3 linked regions of the Sus scrofa genome follow. The protein of the gene in region 1 interacts with the protein of each later gene in a pairwise test. Links are inferred from orthologs where the notes say so. Each region holds a gene or a part of one and is shown in the gene's direction. Other genes may lie near its edges. The genes, in order: CBX5, PRR14 and SUV39H1.

Region 1 (3,985 bases):
CTTTGGTAGCCCTTCAAGTCTCCAGAATCTGTTTCTTTTTCTAGTAATCCCCCAAGAGAAGGAAGTTGTATAGTATCTTTGAAATACTTCCCATTCCCAGGTCCTCCCCACACCAACAATTTTAATTAACTGTTCAGTGACAGATGGTAGAAAAGGCCTTGTCTGAAATGTTTCTGGAGGGCTGGATTAGGGGGTGGGCAGTTCATTCTGATCATGTGTAGATGGATTTAGCTTTTCCCTGGCGGTCCCCCCTTCTAGTTGAGCTATAATCCTGTTAGTTGATCTTAAAATGCTATTGATTAATTCCCAGTGTTCTTAAAGGAATAAGCACAAGTTTTGGGTTTAAAACCCTGGAGCCAGTTCTCTAGAGCTCTGAAGCCTTAGCCTTGAGGCCAAGGGAGGTACCTTCCAACTTCTCCACCCAGTCTTCACTGAAAAGGAAAGTTAAGCCTTTTAACTTTTCCGTTTGCCTTTCTCCCCCTAGTCTAGTACTGCTGCCAGTTGCCATGGCAATGGACTGGGACAGCTGCGCAGTGGCGCCTAGGCAGCTGGGTGGGGGCGGGGGAGCTGCCAGCCCGCCAAGCCCCAGACCTGGGAGGGGAGGCCCCTCCTGTTAGCCCAGAGGGAAAGAAAGAACTGGGGCGATCCGGTAGGTAAAGGAGGGAACCCCCATTCATCTTCTACCTTTGGGGCTCCTCTTCTGCATGAAGGTATAAAGGGAGATTTTCCTCTTTCCTCCCTCAAACTGAAGAACACATATGTAAATCCTTGTTTTTCCTTGTGAGGCAGGGGAGGCCATAGCCACAATGCTTAACTGCATGCATCTAACCCGGGGCTGGTTTTAACCCCAGCGCTCTGACCTAAACTGCTCAGCTCCCGGAAATTCCAAGGTGAGTGGGGGTGGGGGTGGGGTATTCTCCCTGGAATAGGACATTTCCTGTCTCTGGTGAGGTTGGAGGCTGCTTTTATTTTAAATAAATCAGATTTTTTTTTTTTTTTTGCTTGAAGCTTAGGACTTTCTTCTGAATTCATGGAAAAATTATTTTGAAACCCCTTACCTTAACATTCCTCTGCTTTCCCACCCCACTTCCAAGTAAAGTATTTTAATAAAACCATAGTTTTATTACAGAACAGTAAGGGGCACAAACAGTATTTTGGGTGGGCAGACCTATTGCTAGTAAGTTCTGCAGGTATGATTCCCAACTGTATACTCTTGAAATAATTCCCTAAATCTTGCCAATATGAAGTAAATCGATAAATGCAACTTTTTATGCTACTTGAACAAAATTCTGAGATTAGTAAGTGGCCTTCCCTATTCCTATGGTGGTCTTCTGATCAGGATGGAAATATTTTTTGAGTGCTGAAAAATCTTTAAAGATTACGGCAAGATAAAAATGGAGTTCAGCTAAGAAAACAATTCTGCTCTGTAATCCAGATTCTAGGCACCATTTAACATGGTTAAGGAAGAAGTCTTAAAAATGGGTATGGTAGCAACAATGTGGGAATTTTAAAAACTAGAATCTCTGTTGAGTACCCCCTGGTTGTGCATATTTCTGAGCTTAACTCAATTTCCATTTGTGTTGCCTTGCTTCAGCTTTCCTTGGGCCTATGAATGGTTCCTCTGTGTTTTGAGCCTTCATGTTGATGTGAGTCTGGGACCAGACTTCTTTTCCTCCTCCTCTTCCTTTGGCCCAGAGTCAACTCCAGTTAGAGGAGAGGTACCTCCTTAGTATTTGGATTAGTTGAGCCTTAAGAATTACTGAACAACCCAATGACTAATTTTGATTTTTAGGACTAAAAATTTATTTCTCCTCCCTCCCTGCCTCCTTCCCATGCCCAAGTGAAAGAAGAGGTTTAGTGTGTTTGAGATGTCAGCCTCACTTTTGTGAGCTGATGGATGCTCTGAAGGGACAGGCTCAATTTGTTTAAGGGAAATGTCCTGAATCACTGAAAATGTGGTGAAAGATGCCCGAGCAGGCATTTTCTGTGCTGCTAAGAGACTGTTCAAGGCGCTCAGAGCAGAGGAAAGTTAAATTTTGATGGCTTTTCATTTTTTGTTTCTTTTTTATAAAGAACCTTAGTCACTTTGGGGGGAAAGGTTTTAGTTCTGTCTTGGTTCTTCTAACAGAATGTTTTTCCACATTTTCCAACGAGTTTATGCCTTGTAAACAGTTACAGAAGTATCCAAGACTAAAATCCCACACACTACTTATTTTTTGGAATCTGAAATTAGAAGAGTTAGATAATTGTGCCATCTAATAATTTTGATCTTGTTAGCTGAAGAGAAAGTTGTGGTTTGGAAAGTGAGGATTTACCTGTTTTTGATTAAATTCTTAGGACTCATCTATAGAATGCCTCAAGACCCAAGAAAAAGGTACATGGAAACTTTGTTTTCTAAGTGAATATATAATTTATTTAACATTCAAACTTTGTTAAGGTATGTGCAATATGGCAGTTTTATAGGGGAGCTGCTTTGTATTATACCCCCTGCATTCCATCAAGAAGAGACAGAAAATTTTAACTGCTCACCTGGATTCTGACCGTTATGTCCTTCGCACTTGCAGGAACCCGGTGGCCTTAGTCCTTCAGGTGGAACAGCGTGAGACATGGGAAAGAAAACCAAGCGGACAGCTGACAGTTCTTCTTCAGAGGATGAGGAGGAGTATGTTGTGGAGAAGGTGCTAGACAGACGCGTGGTTAAGGGGCAAGTGGAATATCTGCTGAAGTGGAAAGGCTTTTCCGAGTAAGTACATTCTCTCAGGCTGTGAGACTTTGCACCCGTGCACCATCACCACCGTCTTTGTCTGTTTCTTTCTCTGCCAGCACTCCTTTCGTAAGAGTCAGAAGACACCACAGTAAACTAAGCAAAGTTTCCCCTTTCTTGGAGCAGATGTTCTAAAGAGAAGGCTTTTCAGAGGCAGTATAGTGACTTTAGGAGAGTAGACATGGGGCTGGATTGCCTGGGTCCAGATTCTTGCTCTACCACTTCTAATAAGAGCTGAGTGACCTTGGTGAAGTTTCTTAATCTTTTTTCCTCCTCTGTAAAAGAGGGATAAGAAATAGTATATAGCATAGAGATGTTGGGGAGATGTGTAAAGCCTAATACATCAGTGTAAGTATAAACTGTTATTATTACTATTCTTTTGGATATAACTAAGCTAAAGTACATACATTTAAGCAAAAGGAGGAGGTCCCTTGTGCCTCAACAGAGTAAGGATCCAGTGTTGTCACTGTTGAGGTGATGGTGAGGGTCACCGCTGTGGCTCAGGTTCCATCCCTGGCCTGGGAACTTCTGCATACCAACAAAAGAAACAAACAAAAAGCATAGCTCATAGCTTTTCATAATGATCTTTGGACCTCGAAAGTATCCTAGGATGAGGCACTCATCTTAATGAGAGGCTTAGATCTGAGACCACATTTCCCCCAAATATTTGTTTTTTAAAATTTCAAACCATATATACAGCTGAGGCAAAAAAAAATTGAATGAACACTCAGATACACACCACCTAGTTTCTACAATTACCTTTTTTTTTTTTCCAGCTGTGCCCAAGGCATTTGAAAGTTCCTGGGCTAGGGATTGAACCTGTGCCACAGAAGCAACGTAAACTGTAATCTTTCCCTTTATCCCTCAATGTAGCTTTTTTTTTTTTGCTTTCTGGGGCTGCACTTGTGACACATGGAGGTTCCCAGGCTAGGGGTCCAGTGGGAGCTATAGCTGCTGGCCTATGCCGCAGTCACAGCGACATCAGATCTGAGCCTCGACTGTGACCTACACCACAGCTCACGGCAATGCCAGATCTTTAACCCACTGATCGAACCCGCAACCTCATTGTTCCTAGTTGCATTCATTTCCACTGCGCCACGACGGGAACTCTGTTCAATTTAGCTTTTTAAATAATTTATTTTAAAGACTTTAAAACCCCTCTTTTTAAGTTAGTTATGATGATACTGAAGTGTTGACCATTTAGAATTAGGCGGTAACTGA
Region 2 (4,478 bases), on another chromosome or scaffold:
TGAATGGGGAGAGGGGAATGAACACCTCAGCTGGAAGAACAGCTACCTATTTGAACTAGAAGCCTCATGGCGGATTTCCAAAGGACCCAGCAGGCCCTGTGTTATGAAGAGAGTTGCTGTAGTCCTGGGAGATCTCTCTGAATGAGTCCTTGGTTACCAAGTTGGGGTGTCTTCACTTTCTACACCAATTCTTACCAGTGGGGGCTCTTTCCATTCTACCCTTTCTGTGTCACTATTCTTTTTTTTTTTTTTTTTTTCTTTTTAGTGCTGCTTCCTTGGCACATGGAGGTTCCCAGGCTAGGGGTTGAATTGGAACTACTGCTGCTGGCCTACACCACAGCCACAGCAAAAGCAATGTGGAATCTGAGCCGTGTCTACAACCTACACCGCAGATCGAGACAATGCCAGGGCATTAACCCACTGAGCGGGGCCAGGGATCGCACTCGAATCCTCGTGGATGCTAGTCAAATTCGTGTCCACATTCACTGAGCCACAGTGAGAAATCCCTGTGTCACTACTCTTATCATTTAATCTCATAGGCGAGAATCATGCTGGGCTGGGTTAGGTCACTTGTGCACCGTCATCTCAGACGCAGGATTCTAGGCTTCAGGCTCTCTTGCTCCAGCAAGAAAATAAGTACTAGCTTGGACCAGGGAATCCTGGGGAAGGAGTGGAGGCATGAGTTTTGGTTAGGCGGTGAGGGTGCCTTCACAGTGCAAGAAGCCACTACCTCCCCACCACCAGCTGGCTCCTGGTATAAAAGTTTCAGGATGAAGCCCCTTTAAGCAGCAGGATTCCATCCCTGGTCCCTTACTACTATGGGACTGATTACACAGCCCATCAGCTAGGTCCCTCTTGAAAGAGGGCTCGGGGGAGGCCCGAAAAGAGAGGAAAGCGGCCGCACCCCACCGAGCACCCCAAGGTTGTTATTGGTCTCCTGGCACTAGCACCTCTATACTGAGCCCCCAGCGCCAGCGGCAGAAACCCCCGCTCCTCCAGGAAGAGGTACACAACCCTTGGGTGAAGTGAAGCTCAACGCCCCAGCCTCCTCCGCACCCCCGCTCAGCCCAGTCCCTCCAGGACGCCACGCAACCAGAGAAGCAGGAGGTGGCACCAGCCTGTCTCTGGTCCCCGCCACCCGCTGCCAAACACTTCCGTGCAACTCGGGAACCCGGTTCAGCAACCCACGATGGTACTGGAAAAGGCTTCAAAGGGGCCTCTCTAGGCAACTGGGAATTTCACATATCGTTAGCACTCAGTTCACGTTTATTGGCCCAAGTACGAAAGAACCGGAAGATGCCCTTAAAAAACGTGGCGGTACTCTAGCTTCATGACAGTTGCCTCAGTAGCTCAAGAACCTTGGCATCATCTTCGGCCACTCACTGGCCGGAAAAGATGACGCCATCCGGCCCACTGCGGTCCACTGAGGACAGCGCTATCTGCCCTCAACTATAATGGCGGCGCTGCCCAATTTGGCTTCTTGCCCCTAGGGATGATGGCCGCTAGGCGGCTTCACTTAGTTTCTCACCACCCCGGAAGACGGCGACCGGCGATTGGGCGTTGCCCAAAGGCTCTGAGAAGAAGGCCCTCGGCGGTTGGGCAGAGCTGGGTAAGGCTAGTTTTAAAGGAGCCGGAGGTGGGAGCCGTCGAAGACCCGGGATCCGCGGGAGGCGGCGGTGAGCGGCGCGCGGGGGAGGGCACCGAGCGGCTGAAGAGAGGGCGGGAGGAGGGAGGGAAGGAAACTTTTGAACCATCTGGTCCCGGGCTGGGGAGAGCGCTGGGCGGGGATCCGGGGAGGGCGGAGGGAGGGGGTCTGTGGGCGGGACCTCCCGGGATTGGAGTGAAGGGGGTATCTGCTTGACAGTGGATCCCCGGGGATCCGGACTGAGTTTGTGATGCTCAAGCTCGGGCAGCCCCTTTCTGAGTGGAGCTTTGTGGAGCCGAAGCTCACGGGGAGAGGAGGATCCTCGCGCGGCGTCTGACTGGAGGAACCGCGCTATAGGATTCTTTCAGCGGGGATCCAGTCTAGGGGATCTGGTAGGGGGGGAACCGTCGGCGTGTGGGAGTGTTCCTTCGGAGTCCTCGCCCACTCACTGGGAGTGGATGAGGATTACAGAGGGATCTGGCGGAAACTGAGCCTCTGAGGACCGGGATCCCAGCTGATCCCGGGGGATCTCAGGGCAGAATCTGAAGGGACAAAGGCCCCAGGAGGCTTGGGCCGTGGGAGAACTGGGGCCGCTGCAATCCAGGTTCTCGCGGCCAGGCAGGGCGCGAGTGATCCACTGATCGCGGCAGCAGCGGGAAGACACCCGTTCCCGGCGGCCAGACGAGGGCGCCCTTCCGAGCCCCAGGGCTCCGGCCCCTGGGCTACTGGGAGCCTCGGGCGGACCATGAAGGGCGGAGCCCCAGGGGAGGGGCTGGCCCTCACTCCCCGCTCCCCCGCTCCCCCCCAAACCCAGGCTGGAGCCTGGGATCCCCCAGGGACTCCCCGGAGCCGCCGCTTCCCCCATGGACTTGCCCGGGGACTCCAGGTGAGAGCGCACCCCGCCCGCCTGTCTTGAGCCCGGGAAACGGGGAGCCTGGTGGCCGTACCGGGGAAACCACAGAGCCAACAACAGGCTTAGAGGACCGTCCTCTGCTTCTCTCCACCTCCAGCCCGCCTGGCCGGCAGCGTCTGTGCCGCCAGCCTCTGGCTCGAGCATTATGGGGAGCCAGGAGCCCCAAACGGCCGAAACTGCAGCCCCTTGGGGCCCCTTCGCCCTTGGAAAAAGCCTCTCGGCGGGTCCTGGCTGTGGTCCTGGAAGATGTCATGGCTGCCCACATGGTGAGCCCCTTGAACTGAGAGGCCCCCTTCTCCCTCCCGTCTCCTGGGTACCAAAGCCAAACCCGTTCTTTAATGAGGATAACAAACACCTCATTCTCACACTCATCCATCAGGCAGCCTCCCACTCGGCTCTCACTTACTCTAACCTGGAAGTGGGTAGGGTCTCCTGGACCCATTCCTCACCACCGACTCTGCTGGGCTGAAACCACGTCCCTACGACTCTAAGTATGAGAAACCCTTCTGCTTTCTTCCCAGCCCAACTTCTAAACAACCCTTAGGAAGCAGGCTGAGGTCTTTGGTTCCACTGCTCAGATTAGAAAAACTGAGGCCCCAAATAGGGCAGTGACTCTCTCTGGGTACCTTCTCCTTTTCATTTCTACAAAGAAACCTGGGTGAATATTACCCAAGTCCCACACCAGCAGCTCAAGACACTCTATTATCTGGTCCTTAATTCAGCTCAGCTGACTTCTTGGGCTCGCGAATGAATTCTAGGCACGATGTCTGCCATCTGTATGGCAGAGGACACTGTTAGGCCCAGGGAAGCCCTGTCCGTCACCTTGCTCTCGACACCTCCTCCTCTCCTAGGTTCCCCTGGTGCCCCAAGAGGAGATCTCCACCCCACGGCACCGCAGCAACCATCAGGATTCCGCCCGAAGCCAGCCACCTGCCTCACCACCCCGACAAGCCACGTGGTGCTCACAGGCCAGGTGAGCATGGCAGGATGAGGGGTAAGCTGGGAACCCAGCTGAGCCCTACTGATCTTCCTGTTCCGTCCCTAGGCCCCCCGACCCACTGCGCTTATGCCGAGAGCCCTTGAGCCGTGTCCATCGGCCCCCTTCCACCCTGAGGCGGCGTTCAAAGCCAACACCTGGCCCAGAGGAAGGCCCTTCACAAAAGGTGGACCAGGCCCCCCAGCCCACTCTGGTGGTGATGCTAGAAGACATTGCCAGCCGCAGAGCCCCGGTTGAGGTATGCGAACTTCAGAGAATGATGTTGGGGGTTCAGCTGGGGGCAGGGGCTCCAGCGGGCATGGAAGACAGAGTAAAAGGGCTGAGTCGGGGGTGGATTTTTTTTTTTTTCCTTTTCTTTTTTAGGGCCGCACATGCAGCATAAGGAAGTTCCCAGGCTAGGGGTCGAATCTGCTGCAGCCATGGCAATGCCGGATCCAAGGCACATCTTCGACCTACATCACAGCTCATGGCAGCGCTGGATCCCTAACCCACTGATCGAGGCCAGGGATCAAACCTGCATCCTCATGGAAACTAGTTGAGTTCGTTACTGCTGAGCCACAACAGGAACTCCTAGGGTGGATTTTGCTCAGAGTGAGAACAGTTTTAGGTGAAAGAGACCTCTGCCTGAGCAAAGACCTATATGAAAAAGCCTTTAGCGTGAACCTAGGCAGGCCTCTGGCGACTGAGAGATTCGGAGTGTGAGGAGCTAAAGAAGCCGCAGGGGCCTTCCCTGCCTGCCCACGAACATCCCCTGTTTACATCCAGGGTTTTGCCGGTGAGACGCCCAACTTCATCGTCCCAGCAAAAAGGTGAGAGGGCTGGGGAAGGGATTTTCAAGATGTACTGGCCACAGCCATTATCCAGGTGTCAGAATTTGCTTGCCCAGTCCTTCCTTGTAGCACCTTCAGAAGCCTTAAGGGACG
Region 3 (3,985 bases), on another chromosome or scaffold:
ATGGTTGGGTCCCAACTCCAGGCAGGTTTGCAGGCAGCTTCAGGAATGGTATGAAGGGAGTTGGGAGCTCTGGGAATAGATGCCTTTAGGACAATCCTTGCAGCAGATCCCACCCTGAAGTCTGCTGCTCCAGGGGTAGATGGGAGTAGCACGTTTTTGTTGTAGAAGGGTCTGAGCATTGGGAAGGCCTGTGGATTAAATTTCACTGACCGTGAGGCAGTCCTTTGGAAGTCTCAGGGAGGATCTGAGATCCTCTTTGACCCCTGGCCTCACCAGAATGCCTGGTAATAGTTCTTTCTGGCCCTCTTTGTTCCAGGATGCAGTGTGTGTTGCAAGTCTTCTTGGAATCAGCTCCAGGACCTGTGCCGCCTGGCCAAGCTCTCCTGCCCTGCCCTTGGCATCTCCAAGAGGAACCTCTATGACTTTGAAGTCGAGTACCTGTGCGATTATAAAAAGATCCGCGTGAGTCTGGGGTGACCATGGCCGGGACAGGGTTGACTCACCCCTGCCCCACATCAGTTTCCAAAAGGAATTTTCTCCTCTTATCTTAAAAAAAAAAAATAGGATTAGTTGGCCCTCTTATCATCTCTCTTTTACAGGTGGGAAACCTAAGTAACTTTATGAGAGGGGCAGGAGCCAGAACGAATCCCCAAATAAATCTCTTCTTCCCACCTCCCTAGGAATACAAACCAGTTGCAGAGATTGAGATGCTGAGCCCACGAGTGGAGATGATGATAGCGAATGGTTACTCAGCACTTTGTGTGCTAGGCACTTCCTTTCAGAAACTGATTTAATCTCCTGAGCAACACTGTAAAGTGGGAACTGTTACTGTTGCGAGAGGAGGTAATGGCAGGATATTTAAGAGAACCGCCTGGAGCCTTGCACGGCTTGGGTTCAGATCCTGGCTGTGAAGCCCCAAGATACTCATCCAAATCCTCTGTGCTGCTTTTCCTCATCCATCAAATGGGGATAATTAGTAGGATCGCTCTCACATTGAGTTGTGAGGGTTAAATGAGTTAATAACACACGTAAGGGGCTTAGAACGGTTCCTGCTACCTCATGCCTGCTAGAAAAATGTCAGCTTCTTTTTCTTATTTATAGACGAGGAGACTGAGGCCCAGCCAAGTTCAATAACTGCTTAAGTCCCCACTGCTAGGGAGCGGCAGATCCAGGATTTGTACCCAGGGTGTCTAGTTGTAGAATCCGTGTCATGACGCTCTATCCTATAGCTACCGCTCGGCAAGAAAAGATCCTTCTGGCTGCTGTGTGGGAAACAGACCGTGAGGGTGAGGGTGGAGTGGGGGGGGGGGGCGGGAGAAGGCTGCTGCTGCCAGTGGTGGCAGTGACCGCGGTTTGAAGTGTGGGATTCTAGAGGTCGGTTTGCAGGCGGGGCTGGCAGGATTCGCTGAGAGTGGATGTGGGGGGAGTTGTGTGAAAAAGGAGTCAAGGGTGATGCCAAGAGCTGGGGCTCAGCAGCTAGAAGGAAGGACTAGGTTTGGGAGATTAAAGCTTGGACGTGTGACAGATGGATGGTAAGAGGGAGAGGGGGTCTGGAACCCAGCGAGCCTCACGCCAGAGCCCTTTTTTTTTTCTTTTCTTTGTCTTTTTAGGGCGGCACCTACGGCATATGGAAGCTCTTCAGGCTAGGGATCCAATCAGAGCTGTAGCTGCCGGCCTACACCATGGCCACAGCAACGCCAGATCCAAGCTGCATCTGTGACTTACACCACCACAGCTCTCGGCAACGCCGGATCCTTAACCCACTGAGCAAGGCCAGGGATCGAACCCACATTCTGGTGGGATTCGTTACCACTGAGCCACGATGGGAACTCCCCAGAGCTCGTCCTTTTTGCTTTTTGGGGGTTTTTTTGGCTTTTTCGGGCCGCACCCGCGGGATGTGGAAGTTCCCAGGCCATGGGTGGAATCGGGGCAACAGCTGCCAGCCTACACCACAGCCACCGCAACATGGGATTTGTTTGTTTGTTTGTCTTCTTGCTGTTTCTTTGGGCCGCTCCTGCGGCATATGGAGGCTCCCAGGCTAGGGGTCTATTCTGAGCTGTAGCCACTGGCCTACGCCAGAGCCACAGCAACTCAGGATCCGAGCCGCGTCTGCAACCTACACCACAGCTCACGGCAACGCCGGATCGTTAACCCACTGAGCAAGGGCAGGGACTAAGCCCACAACCTCATGGTTCCTAGTCGGATTCGTTAACCACTGCGCCACGACGGGAACTCCGCAACGTGGGATTTGAGCCGTGTCTGCGACCTACACCACAGCTCACAGCAAGGCTGGATCCTTAATCCACTGAGTGAGGCCGGGGATTGAACCCGCATCCCTGTGGATCCTGGTCAGATTCGTTACCACTGAGCCACGATGGGAACTCCCCAGAGCCTGTCCTTTTGTTTTTTTGGAGGGTTTTTTTTTTTTTTTGGCTTTTTTGGGCCGCACCCACGGGATGTGGAAGTTCCCAGGCCACGGGTGGAATCGGAGCAACAGCTGCCAGCCTACACCACAGCCACCGCAACACCAGATCTGAGCCGCGTCTGCGACCTACACCACAGCTCTCGGCAACGCTGGATCCTTAATCCACTGATCGAGGCCAGGGAATTGAACCCGCACCGTCATGGATTCTAGTCTGGATTCATTACAGCTGAGCCACAACGGGAACTCCCCAGAGCCCATGCTTGTTAACCACTGCACAGAGTCTTTCCAGGAAAGGGGGCGGGCAGTGTGGGTGTCATCCACAGGTGTCGGGATGGAGGTCACATGAAGGCTGGCCCAGGGGTCTGGTCACTGATGGTGTCCATGTCTCCCCCTCCCCCCTCCCCACAGGAACAGGAGTATTACCTGGTGAAATGGCGTGGGTACCCAGACTCAGAGAGCACCTGGGAGCCTCGGCAGAATCTCAAATGTGTGCGCATCCTCAAGCAGTTCCACAAGGACTTGGAACGGGAGCTGCTCCGGCGGCACCACCGGTCAAAGCCGCCGCGGCACCTGGACCCAAGCCTGGCCAACTACCTGGTGCAGAAGGCCAAGCAGAGGCGGGCCCTCCGGCGCTGGGAGCAGGAGCTCAACGCCAAGCGCAGCCACCTGGGACGCATCACCGTGGAGAACGAGGTGGACCTGGACGGCCCCCCGCGGGCCTTCGTGTACATCAACGAGTACCGGGTGGGTGAGGGCATCACCCTCAACCAGGTGGCCGTGGGCTGCGAGTGCCAGGACTGTCTGTGGGCACCTGCCGGAGGCTGCTGCCCGGGGGCCTCGCTGCACAAGTTCGCCTACAACGACCAGGGCCAGGTGCGGCTGCGAGCCGGGCTGCCCATCTACGAGTGCAACTCGCGCTGCCGCTGCGGCTACGACTGCCCCAACCGCGTGGTGCAGAAGGGCATCCGCTACGACCTCTGCATCTTCCGCACGGACGACGGCCGCGGCTGGGGTGTCCGCACACTGGAGAAGATCCGCAAGAACAGCTTCGTCATGGAGTACGTGGGCGAGGTAGGGAGTCGGGGCTGGGCGCCTGTTCCCGCCGCCGCCGTCGCCGCCCCACCGCTAAGCGCAGTGCGCCGGGCTCGCCCGCCCCTCTGTGTGCCTGCGGCTTCCCCGCACTCCCGGTGCGGTGGGCGAGGTGTTGGGGGCGGTGAACCCCAGTGTGAGAGACCCCACCCCAGCCGGGGTGAGTGGTCTAAGCAGGCGGGTAAAGCCCCCCTGAAATACCTCCGGGCTGGGCGGCCCTCCCTCCCCAGGGGAGCCAGCAAAGGGCAAAAGCGGGAACCGAAATCCAGGCAGCGTTCCTTTCAGCGGGCCCTGTGGGCTGCGAGGGGTTGTGTCACCTGACGGGGCACTTCCTCTTCTCATTTCCCCCGAGGGCCCAGCCGTCCGCCCAGCGGTGCCTGCCCAGGGAGGAGCACCTTTTGCTAGTCCGCCCAAGCGGGGCGCCGACGGCCTGCCGGAGGCGGGCGGGAGTGCCTGGGGGAGGCCGGCTTC

Evidence for each region.
Region 2: the proteins of CBX5 (region 1) and PRR14 interact in binary tests that used the Homo sapiens proteins (3 or more experiments, as listed by UniProt). The two-hybrid records come from large-scale screens. The link is inferred for Sus scrofa from reciprocal best matches to the Homo sapiens genes CBX5 and PRR14.
Region 3: the proteins of CBX5 (region 1) and SUV39H1 interact in binary tests that used the Homo sapiens proteins (3 or more experiments, as listed by UniProt). The link is inferred for Sus scrofa from reciprocal best matches to the Homo sapiens genes CBX5 and SUV39H1.

The regions. Positions count from the first base shown.
Region 1 is NC_010447.5:19,463,747-19,467,731, reverse strand, and holds part of CBX5 (chromobox protein homolog 5), read left to right. Parts: intron 1-518; exon of another isoform or gene 519-649; intron 650-716; exon of another isoform or gene 717-890; intron 891-2,354; exon of another isoform or gene 2,355-2,374; intron 2,375-2,564; 5' UTR 2,565-2,606; coding exon 2,607-2,743; intron 2,744-3,985. UniProt on the Homo sapiens protein: Component of heterochromatin that recognizes and binds histone H3 tails methylated at 'Lys-9' (H3K9me), leading to epigenetic repression. In contrast, it is excluded from chromatin when 'Tyr-41' of histone H3 is phosphorylated (H3Y41ph).
Region 2 is NC_010445.4:17,748,459-17,752,936, reverse strand, and holds the start of PRR14 (proline-rich protein 14), read left to right. Parts: upstream 1-1,556; 5' UTR 1,557-1,676; intron 1,677-1,803; exon of another isoform or gene 1,804-2,037; intron 2,038-2,459; 5' UTR 2,460-2,508; coding exon 2,509-2,531; intron 2,532-2,655; coding exon 2,656-2,824; intron 2,825-3,409; coding exon 3,410-3,531; intron 3,532-3,603; coding exon 3,604-3,793; intron 3,794-4,320; coding exon 4,321-4,364; intron 4,365-4,478. UniProt on the Homo sapiens protein: Functions in tethering peripheral heterochromatin to the nuclear lamina during interphase, possibly through the interaction with heterochromatin protein CBX5/HP1 alpha. Might play a role in reattaching heterochromatin to the nuclear lamina at mitotic exit.
Region 3 is NC_010461.5:42,799,923-42,803,907, forward strand, and holds part of SUV39H1 (histone-lysine N-methyltransferase SUV39H1), read left to right. Parts: intron 1-316; coding exon 317-462; intron 463-2,833; coding exon 2,834-3,496; intron 3,497-3,985. UniProt on the Homo sapiens protein: Histone methyltransferase that specifically trimethylates 'Lys-9' of histone H3 using monomethylated H3 'Lys-9' as substrate. Also weakly methylates histone H1 (in vitro).